Linked DNA regions of Caenorhabditis elegans. The protein of the gene in region 1 interacts with the protein of each later gene in a pairwise test. Each region holds a gene or a part of one and is shown in the gene's direction. Other genes may lie near its edges.

Region 1 (7,375 bases):
GAGATGAAGATACATCTTCATCGTTTTCCAATTCTAGTTTTGGAACTTTTTGAGAGTTTAGAATATTGTCTATTGAGAATACAGAGGTATTTTGTACAGATGATGGAGATTTCTTCAGATTTTCAGAGGACGTTGACGAACTAGAAGAGGACGAAGTAGATGCAGCTGAAGACTTTTGCATTTGTAGGTGTAGACTCATTAGATGCCATAGTTGGGCTTGAAAATCTGAAAGAAAATTTGGACTAAAAGGTTAAATAAGTATCACCACCGATTGCTCAACATTTGCTCAACTTTGACTGTTTTTATCTCGGTTGTCTCTGGTTTTTTTTAAAACATTGTGGAACAGTAAATATAGGTGTCAGATACATTATTCTTTATATTTTTGTTATTGAACAATTTTTGATAGATCCAAAATAAGAGCTGCCACTTTGGAGCAATGGGGGTGCAAGACTAATAGGAAAAATACAATATTTTGACACAATCTCCAAAACCAAAAAATATTAACGAAATATCAAGAACCTATTAAACTCAATAACTCACCACAATTGCCAATTATGGGGAAATCTACTGGAGGAGCAACAGTTGGTGTTAAACTAATATTCGGGGTAGTTATCATATTCTATCAGAAATGAATCAAGCTGTGAACTACACACAAAATCTGTTGAGCTTAACAAGACTGGGCGTGGTCTTAATGAGACGATCTGATTGGTCGGAGCTCACGAAGAGGCGGAACCACAAGAATTGCTCCAACAAGCTGGTAGACATGCGCAGTAGGTGGTCCCAAGAGGGACACAGGTTATTTTAGAAATATAATGGCTGAGGCGGTTATGGTTGAGTTTACAACACGTTTTGATATTTAGTCAATGAAAAATTGTAAAATTAGAGGATTTAAAAACATGGATTTTTGTTTAGAAACATAACAATTATTACTTTTTATACATAACTTTTTATTAAACAATTATTTCAAGTAGGAAATTTTTTGAAATTATGAAAAACTGTAGATGTAGATGCTTCTCTCGAAATTGAGTACTGTAGCTCAACTGTGGAAAACCATCAACACAGAAACCTGTGGCTATATCTCAAAAATTGAGATTCAAAAAGTTTCAAATTTTGTTCATCTGTCAATAAGCCATCTACAGTACTCTCACCGTTTAAGCTCGCTCAATCATGCAGGCAGATGGGACAGGTGACACAGTTCATGACCTGTTACATCATACCTAATTTCAACGCCGTCTGTCTATTTTCTAGTGACTAAATAGTAGGTTTATTTGTGCTCAATGCTCCAAATATATCAATTTGAACATTTGTGAATATAAGCGGATAATCTCTGGATTTTTCAATTAAAAAGTGATTGGAAATACTTTGGACCTCGGATACATGAAACAAAACACAAACTACACAAATAATGAAATGATTTTTTGATCAGTTGGAACTGAATAAATTGAAAAATAAGACCTTAGAAATAAAAATTAGAATATTTGACAGCATCTTGCATGAAGTTTAAAGTGACCAAAGTTTACATTAAAAAATGTTTAATTGAGATTTTTCCAACCTGTTTTTTTAGATCTAAAATACAGTTCTAGAACAAAAAATATCCCGACCAAATTTCCTTAATTTTTATCCTCTTCAGAGTTACACTATTTTTAATAATTATTATTAAAAAGGCTGAGAGGGACATTCATATATGATTATAATGCTTTTACCGTTTTCCACAACACTGCAAATTATTTGAAGGTTTGCACTGCAATTTTTAATGGAATTCATAATCTGAATCGTCTCAAAGTTACATCATATTATTCACAAACATATGTCCACATTATCTCACTAAAGACTGTAAAATGTAGTAGTCATATATGTACCAAGTGTCCATATCCCTCAAAACAGGTGTTTTCAATCTCAGTACCCATTACAGTCTATCAAGTGCAATTTATAGGAAGACACGTGTCACTTCAGACACCTCTCGACCTTTTTGTTGTACAACATGCCAACAATTGTTCAATTGAGATGCTTTTTTTGGTTTTTGAAATTTGGAACGTTGAACTGAAGAGCTAAGACTCTGCAAATAAAGAATCCAAATTTTTATCTAATTTTCTAAATGTTCAAAAAAATCATGCTTGTTGTTAAGAGTTTGCTGATTGATGTTTAAAAATAAATATATTTAGGACTCCAACAGGATGGCCGAGAAGTTTGTCACAAAGGCCCTTCACTTTGAAAAATATTACTAACATACCCTTAGAAAATTTTGAGATCATCTGTAAAAACCAACGATGGATTCATTTTACGAACATAAAAAGTAGTGACAAAGAAGAGATATATTTTTTTTATTTAAAAATACCTCACTGCTGCTTAAATCTTTGTTTTCCAAATGCCACACATTTGGCAAAAATTTCAATAACTACAGTTTCGCCAAACTTCAAATAATTCAACAATCATAAAGTATTTAATCATTCATATTACATAACATTGGTTTCAATCCAAAAGCTTTCCTCAATAATATTCGCTAATCGGCTCGTCAATCAACAATGCTTCATGCCTTTTAGAGGTACCCGTGGGGGGTCAACTCCTTTCTGCAAAAGGCATATGGCCGTCTGTCAAAATGGGGGTGTGCTCATTCGATTTCGTACCAGATGATGATATCTCAGCAGGAGACACATTTTGTTTCCCTTTGAAGATACTCATGTCTTTTGTCAATTGCATAATCTTTTCACGTTTGTTTGACAGGCGGGAGGATTCGGTGATGTGAGCCGACGGAAATGACATGGAGTCATCCGGAATTATGAATGTAGGGAATTAGGAAGTGAGCACCCAGGAAGCACACCCGAAAGTTTCAATGAATATTTTGAGCAACAACATTTCCAAAGTATGTCTAAAGAAAACGGAAAAAAAAAAAAATCAAAAACCACGTTTTTTCTTATAAAAAATCTTTTTTAAAACTTTTGGAAAACTGATATTCGGCAAACGAAAATCGCAGCCGACTCCTTATAGACAGTGACAACTTTGACAACATCTCAAAAAAACCGATCGAGGCGTGACGGGGCGCCTCTTTCCCCGCCCAACTCGCGCTTGCATAAAAATACAGTACTCCTACCGTACTAGTCCACTACCATGATAATTTCATCTTTTTCTAGTGAGAATTCCAATTTCGTACTACAATTTGGCTGACAATTAAAAATCAGAAAAATAATGAAACAAAAATAAATACGTGAGAAAAAAAACAAAAAAGTTTTACGTGAAAAAAGTTGAATCACGTATCTTTTCTCACGTGACCTGTGCTTCTCTTGTCTTCACAGCTTTGCCACATTTATTGCCACGTCATCCAACACCCCTTGCAAAAATTTCACGGGAACCAAGTTATTTCTTTCAATTTCCACCAAATCGACATGACGGTCAAGGAAAAGCTACTGAAAGTGAAGCAAAAGTTTAAGCGAGGGGATTCATCCAGTGATGTGGTGTGTCTTATTTTTATTAAATTCCTTTAAATTTTGCAATATTTCAGGATTCCGGCCCGGAGAGAGATCGGGATGAAGACGATTCGGATAACGAATCGAGGAATACAAGCAAGACGAGCAAATCCAGCAAAAAGAGCAAATCGGGAAAGAGCACGGGAACATCGGAGATGACTGTTAGTTTCGGAATATTAGTTTAGAATCAGAACAAAGATGGACCTTTCCTTGTTTGTTTAGTACGAAATAGTTCCACAGTGATTTTATCGATTGTTGACATAGTTTGGTAGTATCGATTTATTATAATATCTAATATTAGATCTACGTGGCAATAATATTTCGCAATAGTTTGCTAGTTATTTATTGAAACTGTTATCTTTTAAACCAAAAATCGATTTTACTGGTATCGGTTTTGTAGGTAGTGGATGATAATGAAGTTCTAGTTTCATTCAAATCAATCATTTATTTCTTAGGATTATCGATTTTCGGCTTCTAATCGAGTTTGATAATTTGAGTTATTAGAGCTGCCACAATTTTGTTACTGAGTATAAGATTAATGAGAGAACGTTTTGATTTTTTTTAATTTACAAATTTCAGGAGCTATCGGACGACGGTGGATCTGACATCGAGCTGCTGCCAGATGATGGAAAAAGCTTTGGAAAACGGAAACTGCAGGACACTGACAAGCCATGTACCTGGAATGTTCTTGTACGAATTATTGAGGCAAAGGATGTCAGCACAGGATCCGCAAGAGTTCGAACGATCTTTGACGGAAATTCAAAAATGACAAGAACAGTTACTCATGCAATTCCAAAGTGGCGACAAAATATTCTCTACACAATAAAGAACCAGCCACTGGAGAAGCTTGCTGCCAAAGTTTTGACTCTTCGGGTAAACTTTTAAACATTGGAATATTTTTCTTTGGTTGCTCTGAAGCGTTATCAGTGATTAAGCATGTTCTCTGTAATTTCCAAATATGTAACTTTCCAGCTCGTGCGTCCTACAGCACTTGGTGAATCAAGCGTCGGAGAGTTCAGCTGCTACCTCTCGGAAGTAATTCACTCTCCCGACAGATCTGTCATTGCAAAATGGGTCGCTCTGGGATTTCCTGGAATGGATGACGAGGAACCGGACGATATCGCCTATGAGAACTGTGGATTCCTGAAGGTGACGCTCTCTGTGTACCGGATCGACGAGTCACCACCAACGCTGATTGATGACGATGGGAAGGAGCAAATCTGGAGTGGAGCACATCTCATTGATTATACTCTTAAGGTACGGTACTTGAAGATGCTTAATTACTAATAACTTTTCATTTCAGATCAGAGTGTTCTCCGTGGAACAGCTCATCCGACAGATGATCAATGAGAGGAAAATCAAGAAGAAGCAAAGATTCTATGTGATGGTTCAGTGTGGAGCACACAAGACCGAAACAACAATGGAATCTGCGTTTCTTGATGAAGATGCAAACATCGCATCAGTGAAGTTTGAGCAAGAGATCTATCTTCCAATTCAATGGCCAACTGTCATCTCAGAGGTATGAGTTTGGATTTTAAGACCGTATTTTTTCGCGTCTCTGAGACATGGTAGACAGTCTATGCCTACATGCCTGCCTATCTCTTATTTTCTTCAATTTCCGAAGATATTTTTATAACTGATTTTCAGATTATTTTCTCATTGTTCGACAAAAAGGGACGAGGCAAAACGTGCATAGGAAAAGCCACTCTTCCAATGAAAATGATTTACGAGCCAGGAGAGACTGGATACCTTCCGACTTTTGGACCTGCGTTTCTCAATGTATTCGATTGCGAACGCGTGACTCGATTCAGCATCTTCTCAAGAAAAATGCGAGGATCCCAGCAGGATGGGAGCAGGTAGGCTTGGAGAGTTGAAGACTAAACTAATTTGTTTAATTTTCAGATTTGTTGGGCGTTTGTTCATTGCGATCGATTGTGTAGAGTATATGGAGAAGGCTAATGCTCAGATCATGCATCTTGATCATTCCCCAATTATGGAAGCCGAATCGATTTGTGTAAGTTATTGAAAATTGGAGACAATATTGAATGTTTCATGTAATTATTGGTGATTATATTATAGGTATACTGTAGATTATGTTATACGGTTACTGTAGGATATAGACTTACTGTATTTTGAAATTGCATTTTGTGTTCAAATTCTGTAACAGTTACCATAAATGTTTGATTACTGTAGACATTAGGGTTATTAAACATAATTGCAAAGCCATGCAAGAGAACTTCTGTAGAACATTGCTTAAACTTTTTTGTGAATTTCAGAAAAATCTCGAATGGTACAACTGCTTCTGTTCCATGAGTGGCCTCAACATGATCAATCCTCAATTCGCATCCGATCCAGTCTGCATAATGATGTCAATCGGTTCATTTGGAAGCACGAGCAACGAGTTCAGATCATGCAATAGCTCAACACTGCCAGCAGAGCCAAACTGGGATGGATGCAAGTACTTCACGATGCCATGGGGAAATCTCCGACCAGTTGCCGAAGTCAATGCTCCGTGGGAAGTTATTGAGCATCGGATTGAAATGAGCAATGTTCTCATGAAAATGACGAATATGCTTGATACGATGATTTGGGAGGTTCGACGCATTGGAAACAAAGCAATCGACCATGTTTCGTCAGTTGGAATGGAAGCTTTGGAGTGCTTGGAGCAGCAAATTGATTCGGCTAGCAAGTATTTGGGGTGAGTCACTAAGACTTTTCACAAATTTAAAATATATTTTCAGACGCATCAACCCCGTTAGCAGCAACGCACTGGATCGCCATATCCTTGACTACCGGAAGGAAAAGATCTTGAAGCTGCGAGAGCATTTTGAGAAGGAAGCCTTCAGTATAGATTATTCTGATGGAGAAGTCGATGCGAAGCTGCTCCGAATGCTTCTAAAAATTCGATCGATGACTCTTGAGTTGGCAGAAGATGTTCAAATGACCATTCCACCCGTTCTCATCAAAATGATGTCCCATGGGAAGTTGATCGGTTTCGCCAAAATCCCGATTTCGGAGATTTTCCAATCGGATGATGAAGCTCAATCAGGAGAATGGTGTGGGAGGACCCGTGCTATAAATATTCAATGGCCGACTTTGGTGGATCAGAGAAACAGGAAAAGAGAGGTAATTCAATAAACTAGCTCAATTCCATATGACAATACAAATTACTTTCAGCACGTCGCAGTACTCCATGCAAAGATGTGGTTTGGACGTACAGATCAGCTCACAAAATGGAAGGAGCACGTACAACCCGCAGACATCCGTCGTTTCATGGAAATGTACGAAGTGCAGACGAAGGGACTCGCATTGAAATGGAAAGATGAAGCTGATATTTACGATGGGAAATGGGAGAAGACGAATGAAGTGCCTCTCGAAAATGGATGGAATGCTGTTGGTCACTGGATTGTGATGAATACTCGTCATATGTTTGTACCGAAACTTGGACAACACACGGTTCATGACAAGGCTTTTGAAATCCAGAAGAGAACTGAAGACGGAACGTGGAAACACTTTAAGTACACGGATTGCTACGCCGACGAGTTGAAACCCAAGGATCTTGACAAACATGCGAAAGGATGGGAAGTAGGCTCTTGGGCTCAAGACAAGTTTCGAAACAATGGAGACGAAAAAGGATGGGTGTACTCGACGAATGGTGTCTTTTTTGGAAGCGGAGTCCTGACAGACCGAGAAGAAAAAGTTCACCACAACTTCAGAAAGCGTTGTATCAAGAGGCCAAGGAAGCATGAAGGCTATAACAAGGAGTTGGAGGACTTTGAGCATTTTCGGACAACGATGGGAAATGAGAATTGGGAGGTTAGTTGGAATTTTGAATAATCACAGATAGATAGAATGCTGATCTAAATGCAACTGTGAAAATAGTTGCTGACAAGCTTCTAAAGCTTATCGGGGAC
Region 2 (6,409 bases), on another chromosome or scaffold:
CACACTGTTGTTGGCATTGTGGAACTGCTTGCTGGCAGGTGGTCTGGCATTGCTGGGTGCATTGCTGATTGCACTGTTGGGCTGGAACTTGTTGTTGAACACATTGTTGTTGGCATGATTGCTGGCATTGAGGAACACACTGAGCAGAGATTTCCATGTTAATCTTGATTATTTGTGGAGCGGCAGTAGTGGTTGGAGCACATTGTTGAACACATTGTTGCTGACATTGTGGCTGACATTGTTGAATTGGTTGAGTTTGAACACATTGCTGTTGGCACTGTTGTTGGCATTGTGGCACGCATTGAACTGGAGCTGGAGTCTGGACAACACAGGATTGTTCACAGGCTGGCATGCAGGATGGTTGACATTGAACTGGAGCTGGAGTAGTTGGAGTATAACAGGAAGAAGTCTGACAGCTTTGTTGGCATGTAGATTGACATTGACTAACAGATGGAGCAGATTGACATTGGTTCTGGCAAGACTGCTGACAAGCTGGGGCACATTGAGAAGCTTGAATTTGGTAGGTTTGTTGCTGAACTGGTTGGGCACATGAACAGGATTTCTGGACTGGAGCAGTGTTCTGACAGGAACAACTGTACTGTTGTGGTTGAGTATAGGTGGTTCGTTGGCAAGAGCAACTTGGTTGAACTCTTGGAGCACAGCCACAGGATTGGCGTTTATCGCGAATTGTTGTTGCCTGAAAATTATATGGTATTGTAAGATAAATATAATTATTAATGTATTTTACAACAGTGATTCGTAAGTGATAAGAAACGTACTTCGGCAAGTAGAACGCTAGAAGCAATAAGAGCTGCAATTGCGATAAAGCGCATTGTTAATATGCTTGAAGAGCTGCTAGACGGCAACTGATGTCCTTTTGTCAACCTTTCAGACTTTTATACCAACCTTCTCCTACACTTTTTCACTAACCATCGAACACATACCGGAAAGTTGCTTCCCACTTATCAGACTCTATCCATCAACCGGCTCCATGACGAGCGCAAACATAGCAATGGAGGCATAGCAAATGATCCGAAGAACACGTGTGCCGTCTCATGGTTTTACACACTATTTTTTGGGAGCACGGAGAGTTGCAAAGATTGAAAAAAGGTTGGGTGCGCGTTCCGTCGAATGGAATGTGCTGATACGGTGTGTGTTTGACCGAAACGAGTTTCTGCTTAACTATATGTACCAAAGTTATCGTTTACCTTTTTAGGTACTGCTGGTAAATATTTGTCTTTTACATTTTGAGATGAACATTTGATTTCACAAGTACACTTTAAGTTTATCGACTTTCAAGACCACTCATTACGACATAAATAAAACTACTTTTTCCCTGTTCGCGCACTTATCATTTTGCTCACTAAGCTTCCATCAAAGTGTTGATCTCCTCCGCATCATTTTTTACATTAAGATAAATAGGCGGGAATTCAGGGTTTATGTTCTTTGGTTAACCATACAGTGTGAGTATAAAAGGCCTGGAAACTAGAGAAAATCATCTGTTCCAATCCTTTCGAACCGTATCATGCGCTTCTTCGCAATTGCAGCTCTTCTTGTTTCAAGCTGTTTCCTTATTGAGGTATAATGGCCATCTAATAGTATTGTTGAGCCAAATGTTCATTTTAAATAGTTGTTGAACAGGGCTGAGCGGCGATCCAAAAAAATCGGCTAAGTACCCAAATTTAACAAATATTTGTTTTTCTTGAGCATTGCTTGCAGACATAAGATTATATATTCCACGATTTCAGTCGACCACGATTGACCACGATTTCAGTCAAATTTCACAAAAATCATTTCCAGGCAACAACAATTCGCGATAAACGCCAATCCTGTGGCTGTGCTCCAAGAGTTCAACCAAGTTGCTCTTGCCAACGAACCACCTATACTCAACCACAACAGTACAGTTGTTCCTGTCAGAACACTGCTCCAGTCCAGAAATCCTGTTCATGTGCCCAACCAGTTCAGCAACAAACCTACCAAATTCAAGCTTCTCAATGTGCCCCAGCTTGTCAGCAGTCTTGCCAGAACCAATGTCAATCTGCTCCATCTGTTAGTCAATGTCAATCTACATGCCAACAAAGCTGTCAGACTTCTTCCTGTTATACTCCAACTACTCCAGCTCCAGTTCAATGTCAACCATCCTGCATGCCAGCCTGTGAACAATCCTGTGTTGTCCAGACTCCAGCTGCAGTTCAATGCGTGCCACAATGCCAACAACAGTGCCAACAGCAATGTGTTCAAACTCAACCAATTCAACAATGTCAGCCACAATGTCAGCAACAATGTGTTCAACAATGTGCTCCAACCACTACTGCCGCTCCACAAATAATCAAGATTAACATGGAAATCTCTGCTCAGTGTGTTCCTCAATGCCAGCAATCATGCCAACAACAATGTGTTCAACAACAAGTTCCAGCCCAACAGTGCAATCAGCAATGCACCCAGCAATGCCAGACCACCTGCCAGCAAGCAGTTCCACAATGCCAACAACAGTGTGCTCCACAATGCCAACAACCATCAGCTCCACAGTGCCAGCAGTGCCAGAATACCTGCCAACAAGCTGCTCCAGTTTGTCAGCAACAGTGTGCTCCACAATGTCAACAGCAATCTGCACCAGCTTGCCAACAATGTCAGACTTCGTGCCAACAAACTCAACAGTGCCAACAACAATGTACTCCACAGTGCCAGCAACCATCTGCTCCACAATGCCAGCAATGCCAATCTGCATGCCAAGCTCCAGTTGCCACTACTGCTGCTCCACAAGCTGTCACAATCATTCTGGAAGCTTCAGTCTCCCAATCTGCACAATGTGAACCACAATGCCAGCAATCATGCCAACAGCAATGCGTTCAGCAGCAACAACCAATGCAACAATGTGCTCCAGCTTGCACCCAATCATGCTCTCAATCCTGTTCTGCTGCTCAACCAGCCCAGATGCCATGCCAGACACAATCAGTCAACTCCTGCTCGTGCCAGCAAAACTATTCTCCATGTGGAAATGGACAGTGTTGCAAGAGAAAGTAGACATCGAATGCGTAACTTTGACATCAGTTCTCTGTATATATGACACAATTTTCTCATTTTTTTCACAATAAATAATAATAATGCTTGAAATAATTTACTTCTAACTTCCAAATAATTTCTTCGATAATCAGCAACAAATAAAGTCCCATAAATTTTTTTCACAAAACATTATTTCTAAATGCCACGGTATTTTTTTACTCCTGCGGTAAATGAAATAAAACTTCACGCAATCCAGCAGTACATTTTTTACAATTTTTGAATATTTCTCAATCATTTCTGCATTTGGAAGTCGTTTGGTAAGTTCTTTTGAACATGATTTGAACCAAATAAAGTTTATATGATTTAGACAAGAAATTTAAAAGTGAAAACCAATGTCATGGTATTCAAAGATTTACGTAGCAGTGCGAGAATACCGCGCTAAACATAAAATCACTGGATGGATTTTGACGAGATGTCTCAATGTACTTCTTTTCATTCAACTTATTTTGCTCTGGTGGTCGTGAGTCATTCTTGATTGTTTGCGAATCATTTAACTGGGTCTTTTGCAGACTTTATATGTACGTGACAGTGACAATTGGTTATTACGTTCAGTCAACAATTCAAGCAACCATTTATTTGATTGTTGGATCATTTCTGTTTGTTATGTCAATGTGGAGTCTTGCAAAAACGTTGTTCACGAGAGTTGGCAGAGTTCCAGAAAGATATCGACCTAGTAAAGAACTTGAAGATAGATTGAAAGCAGTCACACCGATGGAGAAAAATCGATACGTGGTAGAGAAATCGACACCTGAACAGGTAAAGTGAAAAAATCAAAATAAGTGGTTTAATCTTGTCTTGATTGTTTTGTTTTTTATTATTATTTGTTTATTTTATGGATGCTAAATACACTTTATATAATACACCAACAAAGTTTTCAGCTTGCACAACAAAATACTATTTTGGAGGAGATGTGTACTTACTGTAAAGTAGTCGTCGCTGAATGTGATCAAGTGGGAAGGCTCAAGTATTGTTACGAGTGCGGACATATCAAACCGGATCGTGCCCGACATTGTAGCTCATGTGGGAAGTGTTGCATTAAGTATGATCATCACTGTCCATGGATAAACATGTGTGTTACACACGTCAATTACAAGTACTTTCTACTCTACATTATCTACACCAGTTTTCTTGTTTATTGGTATTTGCTCACTTCACTAGAAGGTGCTGTTCGATATTTTATCAATCAACAATGGACCGATGAATTGGGAAAGTTTTTGTTCTACTTGTTCAGTTTTATTGTCGGCGGAGTGTTTGGTTACTATCCACTCGGTGAACTTATCATATTCCATTATCAATTGATCTCATTGAACGAGACAACTGTCGAACAAACAAAACCAGCTCTTCTAAGATTTGATAATGCAGCTGACTACAATATGGGGAAATATAATAATTTTCAATCAGTGTTTGGATGGGGATTATGGCTGTGTCCAATTGATTCCAGCACCCAGGATGGTCTGCATTTCGACATAAGGTATTTTAGAATTTCGTTTAAAAATCAGTTTAGCACTACAAAACGTGCGCAATAAAGTATTTCTTTCTGAAAATTTTTCTTGTATATAAGCTAATCAGATATTTTTCCAGATACGTCAACACCCAGCAACGGAATCGATTTGTTAGAATTGAGGAGGAACCATCAAGTACTCAAAGTTCGCAGTCATCGATTCAATGATTCGGTTTAATGAAACTTTCCTTGATGTTTTTTTTTAAATTAATTTTTGTTCGTATCTATATACAGTGCTCCACAAAATGATACGGCCACCCCTAAATTTTGGTATAACTCAAAACTGGGTTAAGATAGCAAAACATAGTTTCATGTGAAAATGTTCGTTGTACTGGCTAGCTTTGAGATAAGTGATGGAAATATACCCGAAGCGTTCGTAAAAAAGAAAAAAAAACATTTTTTCATGAAAAACTATTTAAAAAACTCCACAAAATGATACGGCCAGGTGGTAGAAAAGTAGGAAAACTTAGAAAAATAAGGAACAAGAGATGATTAATAATCCACGGGATGAGCTCTTGTACTAATCACATCAAAAACGCGTGAATCCATGAAAAGTTAAAGATTGTCCAGGAGAGTTTGGTCAACTTTATGCCATGCGTCAAGAATTGCTCTTTTGAGGTCGTTAACATTGCTATTGTTTCCATCGTAAATCTTTCTCATCATGAATCCCCAAACGTTTTAAATTATGTTTATGTCCGGGGAGCAGGCAGGCGAGTCGGGAACAGGGAGCCCTCTGTCACTTATCCACTTGATTGTACGACGCGCGCGGTGACAAGGCGCTCCATCTTGTTGGTAAGTGTATTTTCTGGACCTGTTTCGACGGATAAACGGTATCAAACCGCGCCTCATCACATATCTGTAATCGCATCCGCAAACTGGATACGATTTTGGCGGTGTTTTTTGGTGACGCATGGAGCCTTTCTCAATTTTCTTCTTTTAATAAATTGGGACTTCGAAAGAACTCGTCGTACGGTCTCAACATACACTGGCAGGTTCATCTCGCTCTTTATTTTCGAGCAAGTCACTGTTGAATTGGATGCTCGACAAACGATATTCCGCTTGTCCCGATCAGAAAAAAGTGGTGGGCGACCAGAAGACTTTTTGGGGCCATAAGCCGCAGGATTGGAAGCATATCGAGAAATCATATCTCTCGAACGATTCAAATTACGAGAAATCTGACGATGCGATGTGGAGCACTGTACTTATTCACACTTGATTTCATCTGAAATTCATATCAAATGTTTTTAAAGCGAAGAAATACCTTCAAATCAAAGGACAAAAAGAACAATTAATCATTGTTTGATATTCGAGTGCCACGTCATAATATTAGCCTCTGGAACAAGGGCATTTCTGATTCTTCACTTGTATCCCAAAACAGAATCATAAACAGTTCTTCCCTTCCGTTGCAAATTGCATTTCGCGAATTGCGCTCACGGAACCTGAAATTTGTTAGAATTCTTTTAGAAAAACAGACCACACCCGACAGGACAGAAAAATCGAATTCTTGTCTTTTTATCACTCATTTACAATTCCATTTTACTCACCTTTTCTCAATGTCAGACGAAGTAATTCACATACATAGATGTCAATTTACTATATAGCCTTCAAAACAAAAACGAAGTTATTTTTCTCTTCCTATTTTTAAACAAAAATTTTCCCCAAAAGATTTTTGTAATTGTCAGGCGAATATTTCAGAAACCATTTCATTTCACATAAATAGGCTTTAAAATTTTCTGTAAAATTTGGGGTTTTCAATAAATGTAGAGCAACAATCTTAATGGTTGACTTCCAAGAATTTTGATAGCTGTAAACTGAGAAGTTGCAACTTTTTGACTTTAATTTGAA

The links. Proteins that work in one complex are often made in the same cells at the same time.
Region 2: the proteins of fer-1 (region 1) and spe-10 interact in a two-hybrid assay, tested with the Caenorhabditis elegans proteins (one study listed by BioGRID).

What each region holds. Positions count from the first base shown.
Region 1 is NC_003279.8:8,627,190-8,634,564, reverse strand, and holds the start of fer-1 (Sperm vesicle fusion protein fer-1), read left to right. Parts: upstream 1-3,362; 5' UTR 3,363-3,380; coding exon 3,381-3,449; intron 3,450-3,496; coding exon 3,497-3,622; intron 3,623-4,040; coding exon 4,041-4,334; intron 4,335-4,433; coding exon 4,434-4,718; exon of another isoform or gene 4,719-4,764; coding exon 4,765-4,980; intron 4,981-5,108; coding exon 5,109-5,317; intron 5,318-5,363; coding exon 5,364-5,475; intron 5,476-5,737; coding exon 5,738-6,159; intron 6,160-6,202; coding exon 6,203-6,587; intron 6,588-6,638; coding exon 6,639-7,277; intron 7,278-7,375. Other genes in the region: ces-1 (C2H2-type domain-containing protein), read right to left, coding at 1-225, 541-616. UniProt on the Caenorhabditis elegans protein: Required for the fusion of the membranous organelles (MOs) with the plasma membrane, a process essential in spermiogenesis.
Region 2 is NC_003283.11:10,380,953-10,387,361, forward strand, and holds spe-10 (Palmitoyltransferase spe-10), read left to right. Parts: upstream 1-3,297; 5' UTR 3,298-3,320; intron 3,321-3,370; 5' UTR 3,371-3,395; coding exon 3,396-3,523; intron 3,524-3,572; coding exon 3,573-3,819; intron 3,820-3,941; coding exon 3,942-4,534; intron 4,535-4,644; coding exon 4,645-4,732; 3' UTR 4,733-4,788; downstream 4,789-6,409. Other genes in the region: abu-1 (Activated in Blocked Unfolded protein response), read right to left, coding at 1-697, 780-833; pqn-2 (Prion-like-(Q/N-rich)-domain-bearing protein), read left to right, coding at 1,526-1,579, 1,801-3,024. UniProt on the Caenorhabditis elegans protein: Involved in spermatogenesis, specifically in the morphogenesis of fibrous body-membranous organelles (FB-MO), which are Golgi-derived organelles used for transporting sperm-specific components, in spermatocytes and in their localization into budding spermatids.